2 linked regions of the Lytechinus pictus genome follow. The protein of the gene in region 1 purifies or fractionates together with the protein of each later gene. This does not show direct contact. Links are inferred from orthologs where the notes say so. Each region holds a gene or a part of one and is shown on either strand. Other genes may lie near its edges.

What was found.
Region 2: the proteins of nephrocystin-1-like (region 1) and nephrocystin-4-like purify together in Homo sapiens (co-immunoprecipitation; 6 studies listed by BioGRID and IntAct, with this or other methods). This does not show direct contact. The link is inferred for Lytechinus pictus from reciprocal best matches to the Homo sapiens genes NPHP1 and NPHP4.

Annotation. Positions count from the first base shown.
Region 1 is NC_087251.1:6,642,717-6,659,190, forward strand, and holds the start of nephrocystin-1-like, read left to right. Parts: upstream 1-8,234; 5' UTR 8,235-8,295; intron 8,296-12,120; 5' UTR 12,121-12,132; coding exon 12,133-12,209; intron 12,210-12,553; coding exon 12,554-12,614; intron 12,615-13,198; coding exon 13,199-13,273; intron 13,274-13,654; coding exon 13,655-13,716; intron 13,717-14,808; coding exon 14,809-15,783; intron 15,784-16,474. UniProt on the Homo sapiens protein: Together with BCAR1 it may play a role in the control of epithelial cell polarity. Involved in the organization of apical junctions in kidney cells together with NPHP4 and RPGRIP1L/NPHP8. Does not seem to be strictly required for ciliogenesis.
Region 2 is NC_087258.1:14,950,356-14,967,312, reverse strand, and holds the start of nephrocystin-4-like, read left to right. Parts: upstream 1-8,556; 5' UTR 8,557-8,798; coding exon 8,799-9,293; intron 9,294-11,585; coding exon 11,586-11,732; intron 11,733-13,806; coding exon 13,807-13,942; intron 13,943-15,253; coding exon 15,254-15,361; intron 15,362-15,849; coding exon 15,850-16,005; intron 16,006-16,957. UniProt on the Homo sapiens protein: Involved in the organization of apical junctions; the function is proposed to implicate a NPHP1-4-8 module. Does not seem to be strictly required for ciliogenesis. Required for building functional cilia.

The sequences.
Region 1 (16,474 bases):
ACCTGAACCTTTTATTTCAGAATGACGGCTTTTCATAAAATCATATATTTCAATAAATGGAGATCAAATATGTTTTTATTTATTACTGATTGTAGAATTGATGTATCGAGCTTACTTTATGAGGTAAAACGAGAAAAAAACTTTAAAGATTCATAAACATAACTGGATAAAATTGAACTTTTCATTTTTTCCCTTATCTAGAACATGGTGCCCTTTTAGAGATACCTTTCATTGATATTTCAATGAAAGAGACCCTTGTCCGACATAAAAATTGAAGTAACTAAGTAATTTCGACAATGTATTAGTTCAATATTCTGAATTTGTATAGAATACTTATTTAAAGTGATAATTTTGCAAATTATATGCTTTAAATGTTATTTGTTGAGGTAAAAATAGGGTTTGAATGGAGTAAACAAAATCAACGTGTCTGATTGTATTAGACTAAAAAGGAAAATATGAGAGGCTGCATGTGAAAAGTTAAGGAGTTGAGATGTACATTATTGCTTTAACATGACCATGATGACATATATAGGGCCTACGATTTAAAATGCGCCTTTTCTTTAATATGGACTTTACATAACCTTTTTTTTTATAGGTACAATGAACTTATCTTCATTTTTAATGATTGTGATGGATTCGTAAGCTAACCTAAGCTATAAGCCTAATCTTTATTTTAAATTCAATGAGCTATTTTTTTTTGTTTCATTCATTATCTCAAGTTAGCATAAATCAAACAATTTTCATTGAGTAAAATCTCAGCAAAAAAAATAAATGATTGAGCATGATTAGTAACATCTTACTTTTTTTGCTGAACGTTATAAAAATGTTTTCTTTACCATATACATAATTTCTTAATTTTTTTTTTCATGTTTATGATAAGGCATGAGGGGTCAGAGAGATTGCCGCCCATTTCGATATTTCAAGTTTGGTTGGAAAAAACTGGAAAATGGTTGGGGAAAAGAGGGAGAAAATGTGAGAAAATAAAAGAAAATATATCAAAATAATTATTTGGGCCTATACCCCGGAGAAGTTAAAATGACAACCGTTTTGGGTCATCTTGCTGTGCAAGACGATACCACACGCGTGTATAGCTGCCAACTTAGATTTAAAAAATACTTGCACCAGCCGATAAATATCATGAATCGTAAAATACTTGCTTCTGTCGATAAATATCATAAAGAAAAGTTCTGTCTCGTTCGTTCTCCTTCTGTCAAATTGAAAACAAAATGGCCGATCGATACCAAAACGTATGCGACATAGACGTCTAACTTTTCCATTTTTTGAGGGTCCAGTTTGTGCCTCGATGTCAGGATTAGTGTGTCACGATAGACCTTCATCCATATAATCGAGGTAAGTGCATAATTTATTTTTTCCCCTTTTATTTGGAGTGCTATTGCGACCACATTTTACCCCATTTTGGAGAATATATGTTTGACTAGTATTACAGGGATGAGTCCTGGGCTCCGGCCCGGAGCTCCCTGGGTTAGGCAAGGGGATAAGTCCATGCGCGACCATGGGGTCTCGAAAAGCACCCTAATTAAAAATATTTTCCATATTCTGAAAATGCACCCCTTAATAAGTAGTGCTGCCACCAAACGGATATCCGAACAGTTTCCGCCCGCGTGGACGGATAACGGTTTTCATTTTTCGGGTTCGGGTATCCGTGGACACTGATTCACCACTTTCCTGTCACAACAACTCATTAAATTTAGTAAGACTCACCAACAAAATTTATAAGTTTTAGTCGCCAATATAATCACCAATATCAATTAATCTTCTTCGGTAATATATTCCCGCCGAAAACCATTGTTTTTATATCAGTTTTGAAACATGACCTTATATCAGTTTTGGAGCATGACCGTCCGTGAATGGAGTAAAGTTCCGTTCTGACAACGATGGCGATTTTACTATGGTGTCGCTTAAGATCGTTTTTCTTTCCCGTCTTATGTTTTGATGATTTCAAATGCGTAACTCATCGTATATTTTCTTACCTTGACTTTCAATGCGAGTGAAGAAGATAATTTGAAACCATTAAAATTGCTCAAAAACTTGATTCCATGTACAAGGTCAATGCAAATTGTGTTTTTCAACCAAAAATCATAAATGTATGATTATTTTTACTTTTGTTGGTTCAAATGGATTTATTTTATGCTATTTATGATCGCAAAAGAGTCCCAGACAAAGTTCATCGGAAAAAACAATAAAAAACAAAGGTTCAGAAAAACAAAGAAATACAGATTAAAAAAACAAAAAATACAAAAGAAATTAAATTTTTTGTGGATATTTGTTATAAAGGTAAAAATTGATACTCTCACCAAAAATTAGCATTCTACTAGATTGATAAATAGAGTTAAAGGCAGAAACATTAAAAAAAACAAATTTAGGGCAAATTTCATATGCTTATTTGTATAATTAATTAATGAAAAAATATAAACAATTATTTTTGTAATGTAAATTTAATGCAGAAGTACATGAAATTGCTGATAGTACACTTAATTGCATGTAAAATCAAACACACATTAATAAGCGGAATTCTACTACACAGTTGGCTTGCGTGAGTGGCTGTATAATAGAAAACATTAAGTTCAACAAATCCACTTTTAATATTTTGAACTTGACAAAAATAAAGTAAATATGCTAAAACCATGTAATATTACGGTTGTAAGTAGTTTAAGTATAATTCTTAATTTACCATGCAGTGTTCCAACTTGCCCCATACCATGTTCCAACTGAACGCTTGCGATGGTCTTGTTCAAGGTGGATTTTTCAGAAACCATCATAGAGTTAAAAAATTTATGGGGTACATCTGAAGCCCTTAGATATATGCTTCAAGCTGATATAAGAAAATCCACCTCAATGTATATCATGTAATTGTACACTTACAGTTAAACACATCCTCATTGAATGTGCTGATTTTGCACATATTCGTACTAACTTTTATGATGTTCCTGACCTTAAGGACGTTCCATAGTTATGTTTGTGCGCATTATGATCTGCGCATATCTAACACTCTGCGCGCTGACGTCACAATGGATGAACAGGTGATTAATTAGCTGTGGGTATGAGCTGATTTTTCTTATCATCTGCACCCTAATTGCAGATCCGATGCGTTATTTTATGAAGCTAAATAACTGGAATTATTCCATGGATTATTTAAAAATATCTCTACAATTTCAAAATACTTTACTCTGCAGTACTGCCAAGAATCACGAATATGACCCCGAGTTTGAATAAATAGTAGAGTGGTTTTGATTTTTCTTCACATAGATACAAAGCATTTGGCGTATTTTTGGTGTTTTAAAAAGCACATTTGCACTAATAAAAATGCTGATAGTTTGAAAACAAGCACATGAACCCCTATTTTTTAATGTTTGTACCTCTTAGGTATACCTTCCTCTACAACTTTGCAAATTTTGGTGAAAATGACATGGATTTTGAATAAAGTGCAGCATTTATTGTACTTTTGTAGTCTGTTATTGAAATTTTACATTTTTGAGATTTGGTTTTTGTTATCTTTTAGGCCAATTTTAAGAACTGACTGTGCTGTTAGACTTAAAGTTGCAAACAAATAGCACCATAAATAGATTCTCCAATCTAACGATACAATTATTAACTCTCTTGCGAAATTTGATGAATTTTTCATGTATTTTGACTGAGTAATAGAGGTTTAAACTCATTGTAGTATTCTTGAGAGGTCTAAAAATGCCAAATTCTTTTGAATGCGCAGTACTTAACCCTTTGCGTGCGGGCCCGCGAAACCGGATACCTCTCCCTGCGGCGGAGCTGTTTTTGTACATTGCTGGTATATGGATCTGTGGCGGTGTTTTCCTAATCTATTGCTAATTGCGACAAACTGAAGTATTTTCAGGATTTTTAGTAAATGTAAAGATGAAAGGTCAGACATTTTTCTTTCTAGAATTAAAGGTCTCGCTTCTCAAATCAACAGAATAGTTAAGAAATTTATGAGGAAAAAGTCGTGTTTTTTTGTCAAATCTTCGCTTTTTCCCAAGTCAATAGGCAGTGTGTACAAAAATGCGTAAGGGCAATCAGCACGCGCGGACGAGTCGGGTTCGATCGATACCGCTTTGTTGTCTGCTCTGGTGCTTTTTTCATTGTCTATTGTCACGCTACTCATGAATGGTCTCTTTACCCCCTTGTATACAGATCATTTGCAAAGTGTATAATTACGACGATAATCCGTTTGGGGTAAAATCACAGCATACCAAATACCTCATTTTCCAGAATGAATAAAAAAGGGTGAATATTCCCTTGCAAGTACGATGATGATGCTGCGCAACGAAAGTCCGAAACTATTTTGTGATTTTTGGCTTCTGGGCTACAAGACGGTGGCCTCAATGTTTCACTAAAAATCGCCTTTGGCTTCTTCTTTTCATGAATTATAGTTTGTAATAAAAAAATAATTTTGTTCCTGAAGATTGCATACCTGTCTTCGATTTGTTTTCCTGTTGCAATTTCAAAGAGCGAAGGGGGTAAATATGACTCAAATAGTGGATCTGAAATCATACCTCCAAACGCTCTCCTTGTCTCGTTCTACGTTTCATTTTTCTATCTCCCTTTTCCCTCCAAAATAACCATGCTACCGATTACTCTTTGTCACAATGAGAAAAAGTAAATTATTTTTATCTACTGAAATGGTAGCATCTAAATTTAATTCAGATGCTTTTAATTTAAAAGTGTTTTATTTTGTTCTTTCATTTTATTCGTTTTTAACCGTTCTGGATTTTTTCACAACCGAAAACAAAAGTAATAAATAAAGAAAGATTTGTATCCCGTTTTGTCTCTATCTTTTTAATCGTTCAATTAAATACAGATGCGTTGGAGTCGGTAGGAGGCGTCAGTCCACCCCCCCCTCCCCATTCAGCAAACGTATACAAAAACGCGAAGTCCATAAATTTATGATTTTTAGGGGCCGATCACTCCCTCGCACATTCAGCTCAACCCCTCCATTATAAAAAACGCTTAGCGGTCCCTTTTATTTATCCATTTTTTTTTAAATATTTGAGTTTTGAAGCTCACCAGGGTAAGCGCCCCAATAGTATGTTTGCCGTAAAAAATATAAGGTCAACCTGTCTTTTTTTTTTCTTTAAATGGATCCTTTTCTGCTACGCTATTCGGCAGAAAAACAAAAGACAAAAAAAAAAAAAAAGAAACTGGCGAAAAAATTAATAACATTTTTAGGGGGGGGGGTAGGTGCAAGATTGAGAGGGGTTTGTCGGGACACGTCAAACAAACATGGTTTTTTTCAGGTGGATGCCTCAACGTAAATTATCATTCTATTTCATCAATTTCCGGCGAGGAAACTTTTAGTTCATTGTTAGTTTTAGCGTTTGAACTGATTATGCTTTGTCGAATTTTCAGTGCAAAAATTTTCACATGGGAGAGAAGGAGAGAATGAGATGAAGAGCTTCCAAAACCTAACATGACAAATTCATTCTATAAAATGGCGTGAATTACAAATTGAGGTGGGGGACTAGTATTCTATAATTCTTTTTAAGTAAATATTTATGCAATAGCAAAAGCGCACATTATGGTTTACATTATACCTTTTTGGTCTATTTCCTCTTTTTTCCCTTCCATCCTTTCTGTCGTTTTATTATTCTCCTATAGATGTATCTCGATTTGCATTTTCTATTCTTTTTTTAATCTCACTTGCATCTTCTTCCATCCCTATGTGTATCATCACCCAGGGGAAATTGTGTTTTTTTTGTGAAGAAAGCACTGTCATGCTCAAGAAGAAAATGTTCTTGCCATGTTTTAAGCGCCTGCATGTGTTGTCAATATAAATTGAGTAATCATTTACTTTTTTAATGTTGCTGTCCTAATATGAAAAGCAGTATTCCTAAGAACTTTTTGTATTGCTAAATATTATCCTGACGAAATACACTAATCTTCCTTTATCCAGGGTGTTGGCTATTTGTCCCCTGCTCTTTTTATAAGGAATTTGTTTGAGTGTCCGCCATGAATTTCTTTTGTTTGGGGACTGCCGAGACCAAGAACTGCATGGACGTTTTCATTTTCAAAAGAGCGGAGGATAGACGGTGTTCTAAATTCCTTTATTTTCTGTTTGTTTCCTTTGAAATAGAAGACAAAAATAAGAGCAATATCGGATGAGAGAACGAGGGAAAGCGGGAGGGGGTGGGGGTTCAAAAAATTACCAGGGGCCCGTTTTATATAAAATTTGTTTACTAATTTTCAATAACACTTAAAAGCTACTGAAATCCTCCTATTTGACTGGCGGATGGTAAATGTGTTTAATTTTTGCGCATTTGTCAATATAAAATGTACATTTATAATGTATTTATAAAACGGTACCAATAAGGGATTTCTTCGTTTTCCCTTTCTCTGGTTTCTAACCTATAAACTGAATGTATTATCTACCGCTTTCATTCCCTTATATCTATCGTCTTTCTATGCCCCTCCCTTCTACACCTTTTTTCTCTGAGTTCTTCTCATTTAAATTATATCTGTACATATCGTCTTCCGTCTTCCCGATTTGGATTACGAGGTATATACCCGCCCCCATCCCCCCAATCCTTTCTCTCTGATTTTTCCTTCTCAGTACCTGTCATTTTACATTACATCTAACGTCTCCCTCCCCTCTCTCTCCCTCTCTCTTCATCGGAAACGCTTCCGAGAGAATGCCTCGTTTTTACCAACTTGTATCGGAGATGGGCCTCTCGTCCTATTGCATCGTGGTCATTATGTCGAAATTTTTGGGGGGTTTTCCCCCAGTTTCTCAAATAATGTCCCGAAAACCTTTTAAAATTACTATTGTTACTGTCATTTCATAATAAATTCTGTATCATCTTCCATTTTCTATATTGATAACGTGGGTAGATATCTTCGCAAAATACAATACGATGATGATCATCATCGTATGAAAATGCACAACTAAACTATTTTTTGTGAACTTGGGGCTTAGGGTTATGGCAAGACAGAGACCTCAATCTTTCACTAAAAGTAATTTTCTTTTTTTATATTTTTTTCATAAATCAAATGTCTCATTTAATTCGATTTTCCACGCAGCTATTATAGTAATAAAATAATTTTGTTCCTGAGCTTTGCGCACCGGTATTCGATTTGTAATATCCTGAAATTATTTCAAAGAGTTAAATCGAATAAAAGTGACTAAAATTATGAGTAAAAAATCATACCTCCCAACTCTCTTCTTGTCACTTTCTACGTTTCTTTCTTTATCTTACTATTCCCTCAAAAAGAGCCATGCTAGCAATTACTGAAATTAAGAGAAAGTATTTTTTTCTTGAATAAATTATAGCCTACGCAATAAAAGTTTTTTTTTTATTTGTTCTTTCGTTTTGTTCTATTTTCAATTTGTCTCATTGGTTTCACAACCGAAAACAAAGTAATAAATAAAAAAAAAACATTCCTAATAGTTAGAATTCATTTTTGTCTCTATCTAATAGTACAGAGGCTGCGGAGTTGGTAGGAAGTTTCAGTCCTCACCCCTTTCAGCAAACATGTACAAAAAAAATCCGAAGTCTCTATAAATTTGTGATTTTTTGGCAAGTCCACTCCCTCCCACATTCAGCTCAACCCATCCATTATCAAAGCGCTCAGCGGCCCCTGTTTTTTATTTTAAAAATCAGATATTTTGGTTTATATGCTAACCAGGGTAAGCGCCCCAAATGTTTGCAGTAAAGGAAACAATTTTTTTCTATATGAAATCTTTTCTACCACGCAATTCGCCGGTAAAAAAAAGAAATTCGCGAAAAAGTAGGAAAATCAATAAAATTTGGGTCGGTATCAACCTTTTTTTTTGGGGGGGGGGTGTAGGTCACACATGAATAAAAGTTTGTAGGATTGAGCGGGTTCTGTCTGGTGACACGCCAGACAAACGCGTTTTCTTTATAGTGGGTGCCTTAACGTAATTTCTCATCATATATCATTCTATTTCCTCCATTTCAGGCGAGGGAACTTAGTTCATTGTTGGTTTTATAATTTGAAGTGATAATGTTTCCGTCAACTTTTCAATGCAAAAAAAATCATCTGGGAGAAAAAAGGAGAATAAGATAAAGAGCTTTTAGAACCTAACCTATTATAAATTCATTCTGTATATTGACATGAATTAAATAATATATTTTTATTAGCCGTCTCTGTCTCTCATTCTCTCTCGTTCACCGTGACATATAAACATTTTTTTTCTATAATTTCCCTAAATGATTCTTCTTTCATCCTCATATGCATCATCACCCAGGGGAAGCGCTTTTATGCAAAATGGATCACTGACCGATGTCATAAGCACCTGTTTTGTTGGTAATTGAGACAATTTTGTTTTCTTTTTTTTAGATAAAGTATGTTGGTCGGAAAAGTATTTATAAAAACTTGTTGTATTGCTAAGTACGAAGGGCATTCAATAGGTAATCTTGCCGATAAACGCTAATCTTCCTTTTGTTCGGGGCGTTGACCATCTGTATCCTGCTCTTTTCGGAAGGAATTTGTTTGAGTTGCCGCCCAGACATTCTTTTGTTTCGGTAGTGCCGATATCATGAACTACATGGACGTTTCCCTTTTGAAAAGAGCATAAGATAAATGGTGTGCTAAACTGCTTTCTTTTCTCTTCTTTTTTTAGAAAAGTAGAGAAAAATAATGAGGGATGATGGGGAGGGAAAAAGTTCAAAAGTGCACCGCGATCAGCTCAAAGTACTAAAAAGACATTACAAGCTTTTTGTTTTTCTGAAAATACAATCGATCGATGAAACCAAGGAGATATCATTCTATCTAGAGTGATATCGTCTTGATGAAACAAATAAGACGAAAATCGTGAATAAACGCGTAGGTTATTACGTGACGATCTTCCAGAAATGATTTTAGCTTATCTTTCAAAACAACGATATGGATCAAATCACGTGATCAAAACAAATCACGTGATCAGGCCTAGTGTGCGCGCGCGTACGTGCACGTCACAAAATTTATCCTCCCCGTCTGACTCCAAAGAAAAATTCGGGTAAAGTTGAAACGATTTCCTATTTTAGGGATTTTTCTCCACGTAGCTGTGTATTTTTTTCATTTGATTGTCGAAATAGGTTTATAAAGGAAATAGTGGGAAAGGTTTTAGTACATAACAATTACGAAAAAGCTGAAAAACTTCATCGAATTAAACCAAACAAATATCGGCTTCTGTAGAAGCCCGTCGTAGCTAAGTGAACGACTCGCTGGGCTTCTGTGGAAGCCCGTCGCACGCAAAGGGTTAAGAACATCAATTTGGGTGAACTTTGAAGCTCTACAGCAAAAAATCAAGCACGTGGACCTATGTTAATTTTTGCGTATTTCGAATATTAAGGTTCTAAGGTATTTATGTGCAAAGTTTGGTGAAAATGACATGGATTTCACTTTAACTGTGGAACGTCCTTAAGACATTATTTAGAGATATTTCACGATTATGTATTGTAAATTTCCTAAAGGAGATCAATCTTTTTATTAGATTTTAGGTGGGAAACTGTTCGAATCCCAATCACAACAGGTATACCCTTGGGCGAGGTATTTTATTCCAATTGTCTAGTCTTTCGGAGGAGACTCTAAGCCGTCGGTCCCGTGTAAAGGAGAGTCACACCATTTGCACGTTAAAAAACCTACTCCTCTTTTCGTAAAGAGTAGGGAAGTTATCCCGGGGAAGTAGTTAACGTATTAATTTATTACTGATAATTACTAATTTATAATCCTGTTCCTTTGTAAAGTTGCATTAGGGTAATTTGTACTGTATTATAGTAACCTTTCCAGATTAACTGTCTGACACTTATATGATATGCATGTGTTGATAGTGTCGTTAATTTTTTATCAATCAATCAATCAATCAAGCTGATATATTGATGTTTCTCAAATAAAATCTATTTGGATTTTACAGCCATTTTTGTCAAAAATGTTCCAACTAACCCCGGTCTCCCCTAACTTGGGAGTAATTTTTGTAATCACCAGAGCGCTCAAAAACTTGAATTTTGGGCATATTTTTGTGTATCGTGTACGCCCTCTATTAGTGGATAGTAATATGGCAAGACAATTGTCATTTTTCAATCTATATTTTTAATTAAGAAAAAATAATTTAAAGAATCAAATTTACTTGTGAGCCAAGTTATATGATGAATAGCTGTAATGGAAACTGACAGTGGGGCAGTTCCACGGTTACGGAGTGACGCAAAAATGGACATGTATATTTGAGGAGAAAACATATTGCTCAAACTTCTAGAATTTTCAATTGCTGTCATAATTTTGATTTATTGATTGGATTCTATGTTCTAGCTTTAATATGCTGTGCACATTACATTAAAAAATTTGTGTATTATTTCATTAATTACGACTTAAAACGTAAACCCATACCCAGTTACGGAGTGACATCAGAAATATCCACTCACGGGCAACGCAAAATGAACTTATAATTTTAAATGTTTGTTTGATACGATGTAAGATGATGACCTTTAGATTATCCAAAAGAAAATTTTACAAAACAAGCATAATTTTTTTTTTAATTGAAATTAAGTAAAAAACAATATATGAAGTCCCATGTATAGAAGTTCTTGTATGGTTTGGATTCTCCTATAAGGAGATGCGTAAGAAAAAAATTGTAGCTATTTATGTTCCCCTTTTGTATATTTATGAAATTCCATATGAGTTTTGATAGAAAGATTTGATCCAGATTTGAAATAGGGCCAATATAAATTTTTGGAAAATGTCCACTTTTGCTTGAAACTGCCCAGTGTAAAAAAATCAAGCATTTGTCCCAAAGAAAAAGAGAAAATATGCCAAACATTGCCAACCTTATTTCACCACACAGGGAGTAGTAACAGAGAACAAGGTTGTATCATAACCTTGTTCATAGAATGAGTGTGGGATGCTATGATTCTATGAATGTAAAAAAAAAATGTTTTTTAAATGCCTAATGTGTTTTCTAGGATGCTTCCCATGGTTGAAATGTGATGAAGTCTATTTTAATTCACTGAATCTATTTTTAGCACTCCCACGCTATATCTTGGTAATTGCCATCTATGTCCCGCAGGGGGAAAAAAAAACTGTCCCTATAAACAAGGACAATCTCAATTTATCAAGACATGATTCGTCTTGGTTTATGAGGATATCCTTTTTTTTCTGGGACAATCCCAATTTTTGGACCTCTGCCTATACTGATAAAGCTGTTGGTAAGTTAAAGGACAAGTCCACCCAAACAAACACTTGACTTGAATAAAAAGAGAAAAATCCAACAAGCATAACGATAAAATTTCATCAAAATCGGATTTAAACTAAGAAAGTTATGACATTTTAAAGTTTCGCTTCATTTCACAAAACAGTTATATGCACATCTTAGTTGGTATGCAAATGAGGGAACTGATGACATCACTCACTCACTATTTCTTTTGTTTTTTATTATATGAAATACAAAATATTATAATTTTCTCCCCATTGTCCTGTGAAACAAAGTTTTATTTCTCCCTGAACATGTGGAATTACCATTGTTTAACATTTTATGGTTCAGTCAAGTTCAGTTCAGTTTGTCCTCATTGTCAAACCTGTAAAACTTGAAATATTGTATAATTCAAACAATAAAAAACAAAAGAAATAGTGAGTGAGCGACATCATCGTCTCTCTCATTTGCATGTAACTGACTCGTTCATATAACTATTTTGTGAAAAATAAGCGAAACTTTAAAATGTCATAACTTTCTTATTTTACATCCGATTTTGATGAAATTTTCAGCATTATGCTTGCCTGATTTTTCTCTATTGATTCAAATCAACATTTTTCTGAGGTGGACTTGACCTTTAAGAGTGACTTTAAGAACGACTGGTGATCCTTTCTTGTGGTGAATGATATTCAACATCAAATGTTCGTTGGTGATTATTTAGCGCATAGGAAAGGTTCACCAGTCAGTCATCTTAAGTCACCCTTAACTTACGAACAACTTTGTGAAACCCCCACTAGGTCCAGGAAGGTCAGCTTTTGCATGCATGTTATTACTCTATATATTTTGTTAAATAGGCTTCATTCCTATTTTAGGATTGCTGGGTATATATTCAATGATATAACCAATTCTTTTTCATGGTTAACATTTTTTTCTATGAATTCCTTTTATGTGTGTTTATATTTGTATAGATTGATGCGTACATGGAAGAATGTGCATTAGTTTTGGATGATTCAACTCTTAAGGACAGAACTTCCAGAATGAAGAAATTATTTGAACGGTAGGTCTACATGTGGATTGTCCAAAATAGTTAGGTCATTGTCAAAATAAATGAATAAAATTCAATAGTGTTTGGCCTAACATACAGTTGTGTGTTATGCCTGTATTTCATCATAGAGCTCTATCACTTGCACGTTTTGATTAAAATCATAGTATCATTCATATTTGTAAAACATTGGGCCCTTTAGTTTTAAAGGGGGGGGGGGGTTAATATGATTTTCTATTGGTCTTCATTGTCAGGCATACAGTCAGTAATTTTTTGTCAAAAAAGTGAGTGTAGCATATTCTGTTCAGGAATGACAATTGATGTTCTATAAATTCTCACCCTTGTTTTTTTTTACGCAGATGTGGAACCTTGAGGAAAAAATGCAAAGCACTTGAAAAAAAGCTTTCAAATTTATCCAAGGTAAGCTTGAAAGGAGATACAAGAATTTGTGTAAGAATGGGGTACCTTACGTAAAGATGGGCACATTCTATCTCATAACATCTATCTGTATACATGTACATACATCATCGAGAATGAAAAAAGAGTTTGTAAAAACTAAAAACCAATAAAATAATGTTTTCAACTCATAAGTTTTACATGTAGTTTGTTTATATTTTTGTACAAAACCCCAAAGCATTAATTTAAAAATCAATCATTCAGGGCTTCATCATAAGACTAGATTATAATCTTTTTGATGCAGAGTGTCCCACTGTGGCCCATGCCCCCCCCCTTTCCCCTAAAAATAGATCTACCTCTACTGACACTATATGACTATTACAAATACTTTAATTAATGAAGATGGTGATAATGAACAGAAAATGTCTGAAATGTAGGGTACATGACATGAAAGACATTATGATTGTTATTTAAAGGTCGCATTATGGTTAGACCTATTATTTTCTTCATTATCATTGTTTATTAATGATTATTTATCTTCATCACTATATTCACCATCATAATCATTATTATTACTATTTATTACTGTGTATTTTTTATTTCTGAAGGGTAAAGAGCCAACAGTTATACCCAATTTTGATGAGGTTAGATGTGATGAGTCGGACCGTATGCATGCACTTGAGGTGAGATATATTTAAATATTTATTCATCATGAAACAATTATCAAGTGACTTCTGCTCAGTGAGCTTGATTCTGAATGAAATCAATGTTATAAATTGATGCACTTGTTTTCTCATGTTCTCTATTAAACTTAAGATATGACTCTCATCTTCCATGAAGCAATACAATACAATTTATATTGTAGTCAAACTTAGATTTTAAAAATATTTTGAACGAATGAATAAATGTGTAGAGCTCTATTTTGTTTAATATTCAATTCTGCTACAGATAACTCTAAAGAAGAGTTACAGTATATCACTTAATTGTTGGCAGATTATTAAGAAGAACTGTAATCTTACCTGATCATCTGTTTGGATGATGTGTATGTTTGTATTTGATATTAGGTGAGGTTGGGGAAAATAGGTAATAAACTGGAGCCTGATGAAGTGGAGCAATCTTATTTCAAGTAAGTGATGTGTTTGTAGTTTTTAAAATGTAATCAATATTTGTTATGAATAATCAACAAACAAGTTCAAATCTAACATATTGAAATGAGGCCATGAAAGTTTTTTTTTTATACATGTATATTAAATGATAGATGTAATGAGAATATCAGATTAGTAATACAAAGCTGACCTAATAAAACTGGTTTAAATCCTTCAAATGTAGGATACATGCATTGGTGAAAAAATGAAAGAAAAAAAACTAGGTAAATTATTTCAGATTTGTAAAATGTGTATGGCATATTGTGAAATGTTATTGATTGTATTAATGTAACATATAATGCAGCTTGTTTCGATATGCTGTATCACTAGAAGCTGAAAAACTTGCAGCAGATTTATTTTGAATACTTTTTCATTTCCAACATGACCAAGGTTTGTCTTACTGCACATGAAAGCAACACAAGAATCATAAAAGTGATTTCTGGTGAATTTTTACTGGAGGTGTAAGGTTATCTTAAGGTTTATTTTTTAAGTTGGTGATAGGATGATTTTGGAAATATTTGTTAAATATACTTGAATATCTTTAAACATTGATAAATAAAGGGGCAAGGACTTTCACATTCTAAAATGAAAGTATAAATCAATCATTTTGATTGATTTAGAAAGGAAGCCTTCCCATAGATTATAAGAACATGTGTTTTATAATTTGAAAATAAATTATTTGAAATCAGTATAAAATAGTGACATTTGTTCATATGGTTTATGGTGGTTATTACTGTTGATGTTAGTTTTTCTTGTGGGCTCAAATAATTTTCCTTTAGACTTTTAGGCTTTTATGTTTTGCTTGCTACATGATGTTTGTTGGAAATTTTTGAGTTTAAGGGTGTACAAGTCAGCCTGTACATACAATGACAAAATATAGGAAGTCCTCTATTCCAGCAGATGTAAAGTAATAAATTTTTGTGACCCGGTATGCGTTACCCTGTTTATGAAAGTTCATTTGCATTTAGCATTTTAGCGTTAACCTTTTAATTCCCTTCTAATTTCTTCTAGTTCTTTTCTCCCATGAATAATACACAACAAATAAACGTCAAAATTGATGTTTTCTGATGTAGCAATATGAAAGGTAAAGACGAAGCTAGTGAAAGACAGGGAAACAAGCCATCAACTGGATGGGCTGACAATGATAGCGATGATGACGATGATGATGATGATGACAATGACGAAGAAGATGAGGAAAATGATGGTGAAGGAGAAGAAGAAAGCAAGATGGAAACTAGCAATCCAGAGGAGGAAAATGATGAAGATGACGAAAAAGAAGATGATGCAAAGAAGACAAAGTTAAAACGATTAAGTGTATTCCGACGTTCCAAGACTGATAAAGGTGATGATGATCCAGAGAAAGACAAAAAAGACAAGAAAGACAAAGACAAAAAAGATAAAGATAAAAAAGACAAGAAAGACAAAGAAAAAAAGGGAAAAGAAAAGTCAGAAAAGGAAAAAGAAAAGGAAAAGGAAAGAGAACGTAAAGAACAAGAAAAGAAGGAGAAAAAAGAAAAGGAGAAATTAGAAAAGGAAAGAAAAGAAAAGGAAAAGAAAGAGCAGAAGGAAAAAGAACAGGAAGAGAAAAGAAAGAAGAAAGAAAAGGAAATAGCTGCAAAATCAGCAAAGAGCAAAAAAGGGGAAGATGGTGATGCTAAAAAGGAAAAAGATGAGGATAAACGACCTGACTCACCTACTAAAAGAGGCTTTGGAGCTAAATTATTCAGTCGAGACTCAAAGAAACCAAAAACAGATACGTCTAAGCAAGAAATTGTCGAAGATGGAAGTGATGATGATGGCGATGGTGACGATGATGAAGATGTGGTGGATGGAATGGATAGTGAAGAAGGAGAAAGATCAGAAGAGGACATGGAGGAGGAGGAGGAAGAAGATGAAGAGGAGGAAGAAGAGGGACTTGAAGATCTTGAGGAGGAAGGAGAGGAAGAGGAAGAGGAGGAGGATGAACAAGTCAAACAAAAGAAAGTTGAGCCTACACAGGACAAGAAGAAAGGATGGAGCTTATTCCGCAAAGACAAGTCACCTCAAAGGTTATTCATGTTTTCAATGTAGTTGATGTGCTGTTTTACGGTGATGGTGAATCAAAATCTTGATGTTGCCTATTTCTTCTAACATATATTCAACTCTTCCATCACATTTAATACAAACCACTGTCCGGTTGTAACAAGATGATCAAACATTTGCATACATTTTCATTTTCTAAAATTGCACCAACCTGAAAGTATTGTTAGTAATTTTTTATTGCAATCATTTTTGCTGTGCAACATATGCATACAAGACATAGAAAGGTCTTCTGGATAATTAATACTAATGAGTGCAGAATCAATTCACACATTATTTATTGCCTCTATTATTTTTTAACTGAAATACATGAAGTTGACATGTATATTTTTGTTGACATGATGATTACATGAAATTATAATCATAACAATTGTTTTAACATTATTATTACAACAATTGATAGCTGTATAATTATAGCAGTCGATATTGTGCTTATAAATACACCTGTTTGAAAGCAATGCAAATGCTTGATTAAATACCTTTCAGAGGTTGTATTTCTTTTAAGCATAATTTTCTACATGTATGATGTTTCCATTAATCTACTTATTGCACCTATTTTGTTTCCTTGTCAATATATATCTAATTAAATTTTAGTGGAGGTATCTGTTTCAATTGTGTGTGCTGTGTTTTAACCCAACTAATTTATGTAAATGGTGTTGG
Region 2 (16,957 bases), on another chromosome or scaffold:
TTCGAATCTACATAACGGTTAACCTATGTAATATACACTATTGTTATAGTATTTCTTTTTATTTTATCTACATGTATTTATTCATTTTTTTTTTTTTTTGGGGGGGAGGGGCCTACTTTTCACAACCTAAGGCCTGAATCTGAAACATACATGTAATATGTACATGTATGGATTTTCCAGGGCTTTTTCATTATCCAGGGCTCTTTTTGAGCATTTTGGGGATGAAATCTCACTGAACTCTGTGTCATACAGATCAACATTTTTGTATGATGATCAATACAATCATACAAAAAATCTTTCATACAGAAAGTATGAATAGTATGAAAGATGAAATGGCCCCCTGGAGGCCGCTTCATGAAAGTTGTCAGCACTGACAAGTTGTCTTTCTCCAACAGTTACCATAGTAATAGTCAGAGGCCAGTGCCTCTCAGCCAATCAAAACCAAGGATTTCACTAAAATTGTCAGCACTGACAATTTAGTCAGTGCTGACAACTTTCATGAAACACCCACCAGGTGTATGCACTCATTTCAGTGGGATTCATGTTATACTTTGCCGCCATCTCTTGACCAGACTATGCCAGTTTCTTGATGTGTACTTGCAAGAGTAGAAGAATCTCAACATGAAGATTTCTAATCACTCTTAACTAGGTCATAAGGAAACAAAAATGTTTTGTTAAATTGTTACATTCATGAATGCAATTTTTCAAAAATTTAGGCCAGTTGTTCAGATACATGTTGGTAAACTAAACAGTAAAATTACACACACACAAACAATTATATGAAATATTTGAAGCTGCAAAGACTGTGGCTTCTGTGGCTACATGTATATTTTTTTTACTTTGACTACTCCAGCTTTAAAATGTAACACTAGGTGGTTTCAGACCTCCTCGAAGTTCGTCAGTTCCAGGTATTTTCTGATCGGGAAATTTACCCCGATCAGAAAATATTAGGTAATATTGGCAATGTGAAAACAAATTACGCGTAATCTCCCCGAAAGAAAATACCCACTAAATAGTAGGTACATAGTCAAAATTATGAGAATTTTCGCGAGGATTTTTCCAAGGTCGTAGGTATTTTGGCAATGTGAAAGCAATTTACAGAACTTATAGCCCAGCGTGTAGTTGGGCGCGGGCGCCTTGGGTGGCTGCTGAGCTAGTGATTTTGAATCTCGCGCCTCGATTGCTTATCAGACCATACTGCTCGTAACTTCAGGAACTTATCTCAAAGGGTATGTTTCGGGCGGTGTGAATGCAGGAATAATTAATGGGTATTTTTTTAGCCTAAAAAAGTTCTTGTAATTTAACAGGGATTCTTGTGATCGAGGCGATTTGAAACCACCTACTTTGGTGTTCTATTTTTGTGGGTATGAAAAAAGAAGAAGGGTTGGTCAGTTAATTACAGTTTTCTTTGGCCTAACCAATAGAGACCTGTGGGCTGTGGTGGTATTCTGGAACACCATCATAAATTGTCATAAATTTTGTCATTTCTCTCCAGAATGTGACACTGCTATGATTGTCACAAATCTGTATTATGAACATTGTCTTTACCCTGTCATATCTGTCTAAGTTCCCTTCTATCTCTTCGAAGGCAAGCCAATCAAAATGACCGTTAGTTCTGAGTCGGAGCCCTTCTTACCAAAAGGAAGGCCCGGCGGCACTTGGGGCGTATTCTCAATACAGTAGCTGGCATCGCACGACTGCTTTTATATTGATGCGCTTGATTAGAAAGGGAGATTATCAGATAGGGAGCTGATAAGGATCTTTTGCTTGTATGTATATTGGGATTAAGCACATTTAAACTAAAACCGCATATTTACATGTATGTGCGCGCTTGAGAAGAGACAAAATTTATGACAATGTTATGACAAAATTTATGACGCCCACCAGAATACCAATTTCATCTCTGAGAAAAGAAAAAATATAGAGAAAAGACAATGTTCAGAATACTGCCCTGGTCACAATTATTATATTTCATGTCCCACTTTTACACCTTGTATTAATTGACACGCTATTTCAACACAATTCCCATAATTTATGAACAAAAATAGTATTGGATTCTGATGTATTCTCAGTTTGATTCAGTAACTAAAAAAGTTGTGTATTTTATAAAACAAACAATGGTGCCATACCTGTAAAGGTAGTATCCAACACTTTTTATCCTAATCCTACCTTTTTTATTTTGCATTGTATTGTTTATTGATTTAAAAATTCACCTGTGACTCCATTATCTTTATGATTATGATGAACATAATAAACATTGTATATAGAATAAAATAAAAGGCACACACAAGTAAAAAAAAAAGCCTACATGTAGATTTAAATATTTGTTAAAATTAAGCGTCCAACCACCTACTCTTAATGTTTTTTGTACCAAATGAGAAAAGTAAAATGAATTTTGTCTGACCTCATCTATTTTCTGTCTTTAATTTTTCAAGTTGCAATTGCTGAACTTACACTTCATGTAGAAACCACTAAATTTTACTCATAAAAATTGTGACATTTCTTTCAGTAATCAGGGGATGCACTAGATTGAACATGAAAAAAATTATACAATATAACAAAACAAAAAAAAATAGAAAAACAAAATATACTGCATGAGAGTAGTTCTCCCAGTTTCTTATAAAACAACAATATGATAATTTTAATAGCTTCTTGTTGGTGAGGCATGGCTCTCTCCTTGGAATACATACATGTAGCTTTATATATCAATATCATTCTTAATTCATCCACTCTACCAGCCCTCTGGCGCCCTATCAATCGAAGCAAGAGCTTTGGCCTGAGTGAAAGCAATCAAACCACAGACCATCTATGTCGCCGTCGCTCTGTTGATTATGACAAAAGCAATTGTGCGCTTCTTTGCCTCCCTCAGAATGCGGACAAGACCGATGTCAAGTTGCATCTCTCTAGCCTTCATTGTTCAAGGATGTTTTCTTGCATTCAATGTGTTCTTTATTCACCTCTGTGCCCATGCATGTGACATAATTTGCATAGATGCGGTCTCAGTTTGCTATGACAATGCAACTGCAAGTGTTCTATCCTCTCTACATACATGTACATGTAGCGCTATATTTTCTGTACTTGGGAGAGATTTTGTTGACATTTTTGGCAGAGTTTATTTCATGACACTTAATTTGAACAAATCTTCTGGTGGAAATAACTTGGATTGATTACTTTTGCTTGTTCTTGTGTCAATTTCAATCTCTGTGTGGATCCTTTAAAGTTTGTATTCCTTCAATGTTAAGGATAGGATTTGTGATCGAAAATCTCTTTGTTTTGTATTCACTTTGATGCTCATCTTGTGGTTTGTTGGAGATGTCTCGGTTAGATTGCATATTATTGGGTTTCATTTCACCTCATCTGTTTATGAAATTGTGTATAAGACTCAATATGAGTCCATGGATTTGAAGTATGTTGCATTAGTTTTTCTTTTCTCTACATCTAAACTACAGTTTTTACAATCGGTCATTGCAGTGGGTTTTTTTTACAGGCTTTCATTAGAAAATTAAAATCTCAACGATATGCAGTCCTGCTGTACTGAATACACGAACAGACTGACTGAGGGCTGAAATATTTCAGTAATATGAACAATCTTGAAATTGTCATCTTTATATTATTGTGGTATAATGCTTCATTTTTTTCTTACTTTCTTTACAATATTTTCTAGCTACAGGTGTTTTTTATGGATTACCATGATTGATACATGTATTCTTTGTTTACAGAACTTCCAAGATGCTTCTGAGGACCGTTTCATAAAGCTGCTCCTAATTAAAGTTAAGAGTGACTTTAAGAACGACTGGTGATCCTTTCTTGTAGTAAATCAGGTATTCACCATTAAATGTTCATTGGTGATTATTCAGAACGTGAAAAAGGTTCACCAGTCGTTCTTTAAGTTGCGTTTTGAAACGCCCACAGTCAACATTCATTTCCATTTTCACTGATCCCGTGTACTGAAGTTGACTTTAAAAGTTTGAGGGCAGAAGAATTTCTTTCAATATTGCTTTTTTATTTGGGAAATCCGTCCGTGGCCCAGGCAGAGAAGGCTCAGATACATGAAGAATGAAACGGTTTTGGGGAAATTCTCTGCTACTGTACAGTATTGCTCATTGTCAATAGTCTCATAGACCCCATTCTCACTATACTGTCCTAAAACTACATGTAGTTAAGTGGAAACTAATAATGTGTAATGAGAACCGTCGAAGCCGTCTTGGAAGCGATCTTCCAAACTGGTTCAGAAAACCACCTTGCGATGTAGTTTTGAAGATTGCTTTGCCTCGTTGAACTGATTTTAGCTTACATAGTGAGGACACAACCGTTATTCGGGAAGCGACCTTCGCATATATCGAGCGCGCTACTCCACACACTATATGTGGAATTCCTACGCTGCGGTTTCAAATTTCGCATGAAACATGTCACCCCACTGAGAGTGTTCCCATAGCCACAAGACCGCTTTAATACGTGAATTGGTTTTGAAAACCACTTTCGGGTGATCAAATGGGAACGCTAGCAAGGCGATCTTCCAAAAGTGGTTTCCTGAACCGATTTCCAGTAAACTAGTCTTAGAAAGTATAATGAGAACGGTGTCATACACACATGACTTAAAGTCCCTATTAAATTTTTTTTTTTTAATGGCAGTGCTCTCTGCTCTTTGCACCTTCCAAACACTTTGATTCAAAATGTAATTGAGGGTTATAAATTTGGATAATGATTTTCCACCATTAAAGATGTCATTTCCTTCCTTTGCAGTCAGCTTTGTGTGTTACTTTTAGGCATGTTTGCTGTCGCCATGCAATCCAGCTAGAGCTTAGTACTGCCTGTTTGAACTTGAAAATATTTTGTTTGATTTGCTTGATATTCAAGCATCCCTGTGTACACAGGAAACCTCGGATCTCAGGGAAGAAATATTCAGCTTGTCACTAATTATTACATGTACATGTACATGTAGATTCCAGTTTGAAACTGTGAATGTCTGATGCAAGGAGTTTTGGAGTTGGCATCAGCATCACTTGGTCTATTTTTCTAATGTTTGATTGGTATCGGATTTATCAAAATACTGCAATTGGTTTTCACTTTCAATTTACTATGATTTTGAGGATCTAAGTGCTTCACTAGATCTGTTGCAGAATAATCACAAACTTTCTCTTTTTTCCTTGTCCCATTTTGATCTCTTTTCATTATTTTGATCTTTGCATTATAAGCATCAATTTGATTGGTAAGAATGGCATTGAATTTGCTATATGTACTTGGATTCTTTTTACTATTCACATTTGTTGATTTCTACTCATCAAATTCAATTTTTGTACTGTATGTGCTGCAGCAATGGATAAGGTTCAGAGAGGTTTTTCAATTGTGCATTGGATAATTTTATTCCTTTTAGATGACCAAGGATTGTTATTAACCTGGATTTTTTCGACCTGGTGTGCTTTTTTGAAATGAGGAAATATCTGCCATGGGTGACCCCAGTTGGTGTCAAATTTGCCAGAAGAAAGGGTGACTGATGGAGTATCAAAAGTTTTTTGGAGATTGTATGGGTTCATTTTGAATCATTAATTGATGATGTTTTCTGTTTGAAATGAAACAGCTCATTATAAAAACCCTAGAGACCTCTACAATATCCTAAGCGATGTGATATGCAGCTCTATTGTTATTGCCAAATAATGTAGAGACAGTATACCCAGTTGTTGTGTGTCCGGACAGGTTGTGTGTCCGGACAATCAATTTTAGAAAGTCATTTGGAAAAATTTACAAGGGAAGTTTTATCAATTTTTAGTACAAAATGTCAGGAAATATTATAGAGAACAAAATAGAAGATGATTACAATTATTGATTTCGTATTTTTAGTGTAATCCAAAGACAAAAAAGAAGGCTTCAAAAATATAAAGTGTCCGGACACCCGACCCCCCATCCTATGCTTTAAATCTTGCTTGCAGACTTTGAAGAAATCTTAATCTGTTTGGTTGACATCTTGGAATTTCTCCTCTTTTTTTTGACATAGTGAGTGGCAAATTGAGACTTCTCTTTTTTCAATTTTGTTTTTATTTTGTTGATGATATGTTTGTCTGTGCATCTTTTCAAAATGGGTTCCAACAAGATTTCTGACAAAACCAGAAAAGTATGAAATCTTTGATTTGAAAAATCTCTGTTACACTTGTCACTATAATTATCAAATTGAATTTACATTGAACTTTCCAAGTCAAAGTTTTTGGCATACTTTAATCAGTGGTTTTGGATAGTTTTACATAAGAAGTAGGCCTAATATTTATATCAGTCCCAATTTCCAATTGGAAATTTTAATTGTTGCCAATTAAGATACTTTAAAACACAAGTAATTATTTTACATGCATGATATGACATCTGTGACAGTAAAGAATGTTTTTCTTGTATTCTAGTTCCGAAAAAATGTAAATGATGCAAAAGGATTTCGCTTACAGTGTATAAAAGACTACCACAGTTATATATATGTAATACATATCATATAAAGTGCCACCTACCTTTCTGTATAACATCCATTTGAAAATTTTTAAGAAAAATAGAGAAATAATTTGGAGGCAAATGAATCTTTTGCATCAACATTCCTCTACACTGTTGCTGTACTAGGATAATCAACTCACTTCGTCATGTGGAAGGCCATAAGAGAATGTTTGGTAAAATTTCTGGTGCTTTAATTGTATGACATCCTTGATATGATGAAGCATTTCCTTTTCTACCAGTGGCACAACTCTTATTGATTTTGGTTGTGCGTGGCATGGCCAAGTTCTCAATAACTTCATTTGTAAACAAGTCCTGCCATTGCATTTTGGTTACCATGACAACCAGGGAAACAGCAAGAAGATGCGTGTTCCGAGCATTTTTCCCCAATGAGGCGTGTAATGCAGGGAATCTGTTTTTCCTTTGGAGAGCGGGGGCGCATCGTGGTCTGGTATTGATCGGCGGTACAAGATAACCCTGAGGGAGTAATCAAACTGCTATCACTTGAGCTAGAGAGTCCGAATGACTTTCGTAAAGCTTGTTTTATTGTCATCTTTCTGAAAAGAGAGTGGAATTTTCCCTCGTTTTTCTCAAATGATTTTCTCTTTCTCATCTTTTGCTTTGAAGATTGGGATATTCGCTCCTGGATTTTGTTGTAAGGAAAATACACTTTGTACAAGTTTTGTATTAACTTCAATCTAAATAAATCATCAAGGATCTGTTAAAGGTGATCTACACTTACCCTTTTCCTGCTTCTTGTGTTTCTTCAACTGTCAACTCTGGAGAGGAGGCTGTCGGAACTGGATGGAGGCCAGAGACTTTCATAGACTGAAAATAAATTGTTGCTTACTTTTATAGTCTAAAGAAAGGCAGTAGTAGACAAGAGATATCTTCTATGATCTACATGTACATCAGTCTGGTCTACATGTACACAGTTTAAATGTAGGAAATGCAGTGAGGTTGTTTGGTACTACATGTAAGTCTGATCTACATACCTTTGAACATGTGGGATAACGAACAGTCTGGATTTTCATTTGTCTGCAATGCACATTACATGTACTTGATGTACATGATGATAGATTAGCTTTAGAAACACACATCAGATTCCAAGACTACAGGAATATTGATTAGAGTGCATATCAGGATTTTTCATTAGTTCGCTTCTGAAGTCCTCAGTTCATGAAATTCCTTCAGGCATAGTAGAGAAGCCTTTTTGTTGCGTTGATATGGTCGGAGAAGGAGCCAAGAGTTTTATTACATTTATGTTTTTCAATATTACAGTGTCGGTAGTACTCATTGGGTGCTTTTACACTTGCCCAATCACCAAAAATACATGTACAGGCACCTTTTATTTGGCCAGTATGAACGCAAAGTAATATTTCCAGTATAAAATACGCACAAATTGATTGCTGCTTTTCAAAATTATTAGAAATTTTGTCAAGATTTGTTTAAGGACATGGCAAACTTGGAAGTATTTGAGGTGTGAAAGAAAATTAATTAATAGAACTTGTGATAGAAAGTAGGAAGAATGCGTAACACTCTAAAGTGAGTCTTGTTGTAGGCAAATACATCTAAGTAGAACTTTATGTGGTTCAGAGAGAGTGTGAATGCACTTATATATTGAGGTCCGACCAAGTTCCATAGATATTTTTGTTATTTGGCAAGTGTGAAATGTCAGTGTATGCCTGTCGACAACATTTGCATTTTTTTTTTTACACGTGTTCGTTAATGGTTTTCCCAGACTTCTTGTGCATGCACTGAACAGCTGGTTTAGTATGCATTTAGAGATATTTATAGATGTCAATAAACTTTATGGGTACAGTATCTTGCCTAAAATGCCACCTTGCCATTAGTTTTATTGCTTGAAGTGAAGAGTACTGCATTGTACATGTAGATGTAGGCCACGTCTCAAGAAACTAAAAGGATCTGCCTCTTGCAGTCAGTCTTGTGTTCAGTTTCTGGCTTTAAGAGAAATAATTTGTGCTAACAGATCTAATTTTAAGATGTTCTTGATGTAATTTCGAGAATGTTTTGTCTTTGCATTGAATATAGAGCTGGAAAGTACATTAATTGGTATCTGAACTTTTGGTTCTTGCCAAAGTTCTGTTTCTCCTCTTTTGCAAGTTTGTTTTGATAGTTTGCACTTCGTAGGATGAGGGATATATCATATCTATGTTGTGCGATTATAGACCTCTTGTGAGGTTGTGAACTCCATTGAAATGAGACCTTGCTACCATTGTCTTTAGGAGTGGGTCATCTGTTCATATCTACTGAAGATCAGGCCAAAGTGCTCAGTCTCTTTGAGTAATGTCTTTACCCCCGCTATGTGAACAATGAAAGATCATGAAAGTGAAGAAGAATCTTTACACGAGACTGGAATCCATCCAGGTCAGACCACAAAGCACAAGGAATCTTCAACATGGACACCCAGTACTCTGATTCCCTCACAACCTCCGCAGTTACTGCTCACACCAGAATCCACCCTTGCCTTGTGGCAAACTACCCCAAATGTCTGGATCGACAAGAGCAAGACGATTACCCAATCGAGCCACCGTTATCCGCAGCGTGCAACAAGTTTCAGTCAATTTTCAAGCCTTCCGCGTCACTTCCGTCTGTCCGAAGCAGCGCCCCACACCCAGTACCAGCAGACTTGGGATGAGATAGAAAGTATTAAGCAGGAGCTGTGTGTAAAGCGGGTGATTCCTGCGGATTATCGTAGAACAGCTGTTCGTTACCATGGTGATGAGACGGTGGACCGTAAGAACTGGGTCCCATTTATCATCTTGGTTCATTCAGTGGATAATGTAGCCCACGATGTCGAAGCTCAGGTACAAAGTTTTTTTAAACTGGAACAGACCTCCAGGGAGGTCAGTCACAGTGCTGTTCCTGCTAGAATCCCATGTGCTTTATCGTTAGTCTTCATACATAATTCCTTTTCTTTTATCACCTTAAGAAATTCCTTTTCTTTTATCATTTTAAGAAATAGTGAAATTTCGAAGAAAAATCAATTGATCTGTGTTGAAAAACATGAATGTTTCAAAATACGTTTACATGGAATTATGTTCACTGTAGAAATATTTTAGAATGATGATAAAGAGAATCAAAAGTCCTAATACATGATGTACAGGGGCCGATTGCACAAAAGGGTCTTTCCAAGGACCGTCTTTCGTGTCGCCCATCTTTTATGATGCGCTGTAAGCGGGGTGTTTCTGAAATTTATGATAAACAAATAAAATTTGTAAGCTTGCTTTTAAATCAAATTTTATACAATTTCATGAGATATCACATCATTTTGTAAACAAAAATATTCTGTTTATTTTAACGGACAAATAAAATATATTTGCAGATAATTTATTTGAAATGCGTTTCACATGGCGTATCATAAAAGATGGGCGACACGAAAGACGGTCCTTGGAAAGACCCTTTCGTGCAATCGGCCCCAGGTACTTGTAAATTCTACAGATCATAATACATTAAAGACTCTACATGTTAAATCCTGGTGGGAGGTTCATAAAGCTGTTTGTAACTTACGAGCTACACTGTACTTTACGATCGGCTGGTGACCCTTCCTTAAAGGTCAAGTCCACCCCACAAAAATGTTAATTTGAATAAATAGACAAAAATCAAACCAGCAAAATGCTGAAAATTTCATCAAAATCGGATGTAAAATAAGAAAGTTATGACATTTTAAAGTTTTGCTTATTTTTCACAAAACAGTGATATGCACAACTCAAATGAGACAGTCGATGATGTCCCTCACTCACTATTTCTTTTGTTTTTTATTGTTTGAATTATACAATATTTCATTTTTTATAGATTTGACAATAAGGACCAATTTGACTGAATCATATAGTATAAAACAATGCTCATTCCACATGTTCAGGGAGGAAGTAATCGTTGTTTCACTTGACAAGGAGGAGAAAAATAGGATATTCCCTATTTTATACAATAAAATACAAAAGAAATAGTGAGTGGATGACGTCATCAGTCTCCTCATTTGCATACCCAACAGGATGTGCATATAACTGTTTTGTGAAATTGAGCAAAACTTTAAAATGTCTTAACTTTCTTATTTTACATCCAATTATGATGAAATTTTCAGTGTTATGTTTGTTGGATTTTTCTCTTTTTATTTAAATCAACTTTTTGTTGGGGTGGACTTGTCCTTTAAACACCTTATCAACACCTTTGGAAATCTGGTAGCACAAGAATGAATCCCCAGTTGTTTGTAAAATCGATCGTAGCTTAAAAACAGATTTTTATGAAACATCCACCAGGATTTTTTGAGTTTGTAAAGACTTGAGCTATACTCACACATGTAGCACTTAACTTAGTAAGTACTGTATATATTTTACTTTAACAAAGCTCATTTATGGACAAATAATAAGATATTTATTATCAGATTGTTCCAATTCCATTATGAAAGTTGATCTTGACCGCAGTGCATGCCAGGAGATGGGCAGTAATTGCTAGATTCAAGGCTGTTTCATGCAGCTCTGGTTTTGTCACAAAATTGTAGGTTAATTGGATATAGATCGAGAATCAGATACAAATAGAGGGTACTCCACAAGCACTATAAAAAGAAAAATGACAGATAAATTAGAAAATGAAACAAGTGGGATGATTTTAAGCTACAATGTACAGTGTGATGAGAATATTTTCTTTTGAATATGATGTACATGTTCAGCACGTACTGTTTAATGAACCTTGTAGTACTTTAAACAACCATGCATAATTCATTGAAGATTAAATATAAAAATGAAACTGTGTACAATGTAGTTTAAAATTTAATACTACATTACACTACAAATCGGATGCATCCGAGAATAAATCAATGAATGGTACGCCAGGCTGCTTAATGTGACATGAGAGTTGGAATTTTTTTTTACATTTTTAAACACTTGTTTTAATTTTTGAATTCTTAAACACTTGTTTTCATTTTTGAATTTTTAAACTCTTGTTTACTGTAAGGTTCAAAGAGTAAATATGTAATTGTATAAAACTGCGTATACTTAAATTAATTCTGGATTGAAAACTTGTACAGGTACATATTTATTGTTTTAATGAATTCATCAAAATAATCATCATTTCTTTTCTCTGGTTTGTTTACTTTTTAACAGGAAAAAGCCAAGAAGCAGACCCAATACCAGCTACGGTTCAGTCTTTTTGACGTCACTTTCAAACGGTTCTTTGGTCGAACCCTAGTTGGACCAAAGAAGGTTTGCAAACAAAGCGCAAGCCATGCTCCAAGACTGCAGTACAATTTAGTGAGTATCTAAACATTATTTGAAAAAAGTAAACCCTTCCCATGTGCTCAAAGATCGTCATCTTTTTAGCCCCAGACCTCCTCATTTAATTTTTAAAGAACAATTTCGATTCTCAGGGATGACAATATCCAGACCAAACTAAAATAACACTGTATTTTTCTTTTTAGTTTACTTCTCGAGAATGAGATGAATGCAATATTCCAAGATATAACCTTTGTTCGCAGCTTATGTACAATCACTTTGTGTCAAAGGTCTTTCAAAATAGAAGACGAAAACCTTACCAGAGAGAATGCTACATGTATATCATCAAAGGTAAAACTCAATGTCACACAAAGAATCAACCTATCAAAAAATTACTAGTGGCCACTACCGGTAATCATTTGTAATTGATTGTGAGATGATATTCCAATGCAATTCAATCTGTGAAGCCTTTTCAAAAAGTTTTATACAGGCTTTAGATTACATGGAGTTAAATCATGTGATTAAATAGAGTGTTATTTACTCAATCTCTTTCCTCATCTAAAATGTATGTAATGGACTTGTATTTAAATGCAATCAACTAATGAAAAAAGGTTACCGGTAATTTAATGCAATAATGGAGATTAACATGCTCTTCGACATGCATGTGGTCATTTTCATCAAGCTAAATGAATTCAACCAAAGTCAAGTTGATGGCCGTTTCCATGACAACATACAACAAAGCAAGTCCAAAGATCCCATTGATAAATGTGTCAACAAATGAGGGGAAACAGCACGTTTGCATTATATTTTGATGATGTACAGTGTATATTTGTGCTACAGCACGGATGAAGGTGTACATGTGTAAAGGCATTTTTATTGATCTAGTAATGAATATGGGTGTGCATTTATGCAGCTTAATGGAGAAATAAAACAAATTTCTTGAGTGCAGCAAACTTTGCACAGTATATGTATATTTTTTTTATCTTAGAGGTTGTACATGCACACACACACACACATAATTTGATTGTTTAAAAGAGTGCTTTATTCTGGAATCCTGTAAAAAATAAGTTGTATTTATTATTGCATAGTACATGTAGTAGCAGCAGCAGCAGCAAAATGGAGCAGCAGTAGTATATTTAGGAGTGCAGATGGGGGGGGGGGGGCACTAGCCAGTCAACAGTGTAAAGAAAATGTTATTTATGAACCAGAATCAGAATAAATTTGTATTGTTTGTATTATTAACCCTGCACATTATGATATCATTCCCCCGGGGTATTATTTTTATGGGGGTGTGCCTCACTAAACTCTGAAATGGGGTCTATTAAAGGAACTGACTATAAGGGTAAAGTACGGGTCTTGGGAACTAGATATACATGTATACCGCGGTGTGTGAAAAACAGGGTCTACGGAATGGAATTGCGGCACTGTAGGTGCGGTGCACCATAGCGCTGTGAATGCGCTAGCCATGCATGGACCGGCTACTTGTTAGGCCTTTTTGTAGGGAGTTGCGAAGCAATATGTGCATCTCTTGCAGGTGGTGCTCGCGCTTGACAACTTTGGCAGGGCTGGGGAACTGAGATGTATCATAACGCGTCTTGCGAGCAGGGCTGTGCGGCTTCTGAACTGAACTTTTGTCATTCGGAGTATCTAGAGAACTGAAAATCAGGTCTGAAAACAGGGGGTCATCAGAGCGGCACATATCCCTACCACCAATATATGTGAGTCCCCCCCCCCTGGATCATGCCCTTCTGAATCTTATTTTTGGGTGGTAATTTGATTCTGTAGTACACGTACATAGATAGAATAATCTATTTTAAGAATGCTGACAATTTTGGGAGTTTGCAGCATTTAAAATCATGAGTGCAATTCTCAGTAGTGTGAGTGTTATGTAGTATAATTTATCATGGTTCTGAACTTGCTCTTAACCATTTTTGGACTTTTTCCCAGGGAGTTGAGAAAATGCATGCATTTTTTTTTTTTTTTTGCGGGCATGCAAGGATCCGATGACTGGGATACGTCTTTCAAATGTACATGATGTACATATTAAAGCGCTCTGTAAAGTATATAAAATGGAATACATGTATCATTGACTTTTGTTCTATTTTTTTTCCAGCCTGTTTACTTTCACACGTCATTAGCTGACCCTAACATTGTTTTGATTGTTGAGATCATTGCACTCATCAACGATGCTAAGACAGGCCCTCGTCAGATGTCATGTGGCTGGTGTGTGCTCAGGCTGTTCCAACAAGGTATCTGTTGTAATCATGGTGATACATTATTGCACCTATTTTGGTTCTGTGTCATTTACTCTCGGACAATTGCTCCACTCTAAATTCCACTCACTAATCAAATGGCCAACTTCAACCCTTGGTTTAACACTTTACCCGACCTAAATTATCTAACATCAAACCCTATTGCACTCCTTACCCTACATCTTAAACGGAATTAAGCCCGGAGCGATTTTCACAAGAGCAAATGCTGTGTCACCCTTATTTTAGTACAGCATGTTTCTGTTTTTGTTCCAAATGTTTGAATTGTCATCTCAATGAAAAATTGTTCTTGAATGCCATGGGCTTTAATAATTGCAACATTTTAACTTGTGGGCCATTGATGATATCTCATGCGTTCAATAAATTGTACTCGGGCCTGAATATCTGAATGCCTTACTACTTATGAGTCTTACCTGAAGACCTTTCTGTTCCCCACTCTAACATCATTGCAAGAATGACATAATATTGTAGCACTAGCTAGTGCAGTAGGATTTAAACTGAATGATGATTCTAAGCACTGTTTGAAGACATTGAAATTTGTGAAACATTTCCTGTTTTTGAGCAAGAGTCAACAGAGGCGTATAACGATGCTATGCAAGAACTTCATCATTGGGTGGAAACGGATGCAAGTGCTGCATTGGGATTTGAACCCAAGCCCTTATGGTTCAAATTACAATATCCAGAGAGTTACCCACTGATCCACATCTCATGCTCTTCTTTCCATCATTGTAATGCACAACACCAGTGCAACAAACAAGCCTACATGTATTTGATGTCATATTGATGATATTTCTTTCAGCATACAGTTGTATTGATTATTGGATGTAATTTCCAATTGCTTGGAGCCAAAATGCATCTGTCTGCATTTTAAAATCATTTCCACATACACTTCCTCACCTGATACTGTTGTTAAAACATTTAACTTGTACATGTAGGTCTAATGATTAAAAAAATAAAATTGATATTTACAGGCTTTTTTTTCTTTTTTTTTAAAATTCATGATAGTAATACAGTCAGTTTGCACTTGTTACTTTGCACAATGAAATTTTGTTTCTTTTACACATTTTCTGTGCTTCTATGTAGAAATTAGCTTTTTCATTTTAACATGGTTTGTAATAATAAGTCATATATTAATATTTCATTCAATGTACGTGTATTTTGATTGACCTACTGTATGAACTTTGAATAGCATGTCACAATAGATACATGGTGCCTTAAATCAAAATAGGACATATCTTTTTTTATTGTTGACCCATACAATTTATTCAAACATTTGATCTCTTTTAATAGGTGATATGCCAGACACGTCTCAAGCAACACCGGCCCCTGTGAGGAGGGTGGATGTCTACCATGGTTCCCCTAGAGCTCTTCTATACCTAGAAGATGATGATATTGAAGGTAAGAACCGAATATATGTCGCAATCAAATGATAGAAGATAAAACCTTTTAATATTTATCTGTAATCTTGTAGAATGTTCGAAGTTTGTGGTTATTTCCTGTATTTTGAGGATGCAGAGAAGAGAATCATCAAATGTTCAAAGGATAAAATTATATTAAGTAGATTCTCCATCAGAAGTCTTTCGTAAAATACTCATCAATAATGATTACTCTGGCTTTAGCAGACAAGCTGTTATAATATGCCCTGTGTCTAAAAGGCACCTACATGTAACAAGCAATACAAATCCTATAGTATATCATAATTAAATTCGTTGAGAAAAATGAAAAAAAAATGACTTGAGCAAGATGGTAGCGTATAGGCGGTTGCTTCGTAGTACCACCACATTTTGCTTACGTTTCGCATAACAGCATCATACTTGTAAAAGCAAAGACAATTTGGCTGCAGCCTTGGCCTAGATGATCAAATTTCCACCTTGTGTTCCAATCAGGTAACCCAAACATCACCTTCGTGTCCGACTGCCAGCTGTGTTTTACCATCAAGACCCACCGCTACCTGGAGAAGATCTTCCATCTACTACCAGAGAACATCCTAGCTCTAGGAACTGACATCATTCCTGGTGTGACCATTGTGGATGCTAACTCGGGTAAGGATGTGCAGACTTGCCAATTAGTAGGATTTTTCAAAGGGAAAGTGACACTAAAGAGGATTTTATCCCCAAGAAATGGGATTTTTGAAACTTGGAAGAATTATTTTTTTATTTAATGTTTTTTTTTATTTCCCTCCAATAGGGCATATATTTGCATAAACATTTTAACAATGATATAAATAACACAATACAAAGCATATCATACATGTACACACATATTGTAATTTTGAACAAAGTATAGGCCTACAGGGCGTTTCAAACAAAAGGCAACCGATCCCTAGAGTGGCCATGCCCTACACCCATTTGTTCTGCCGCCGACACATGCAACAGCAAAAACAAATGTGAAAAAGACCATACCTACTTTTGAGAAAATTAAACAATATGTAAGAAAATGTTACAAAAATGAGAGGCAAATTAGTATTATGGAAAACAAAACACATAAATTTGATAAAAAATTGGTAAATTTCGAAAGAATACTTGTCATTTTGTAATAAGATTTCCGGACCTTAATATGTATTTCTGTTTAATGTAAACATATTTTCATGATGAATATACAGTGTGTTTCAGGTGAGAGGTGATCAATTATTGCTGGAGGGGCCGTGTTTGGTGCTCATTTGTTTTTGCTGAAACGTGTAAGAATGATGATTTTTGGTATGTTTTTCAAAATATTTAAGAAAAATTTGATTTTAGGCTAGAAAATAGGACAAAATGAAATACATGTAAAGAACAGGATTTTTTCCCATCTTAGATTACATGTAGCAGCTCTGGCTTTGTAATCATGAGTGAGTTTTTTTGTGTGTGGTCTGATTGTGTGGTTTGGCTTTTTGGTAACCGGCCTGCCTACTTTGGATCATGTTGGAATTGAAGGAGGAATAAATTAAAAAATAACTGCTAAGAAATTGGAAATCAGCAGCTGTCAGAACTCTTTTTTTTTTAAATGTTGCTCAAA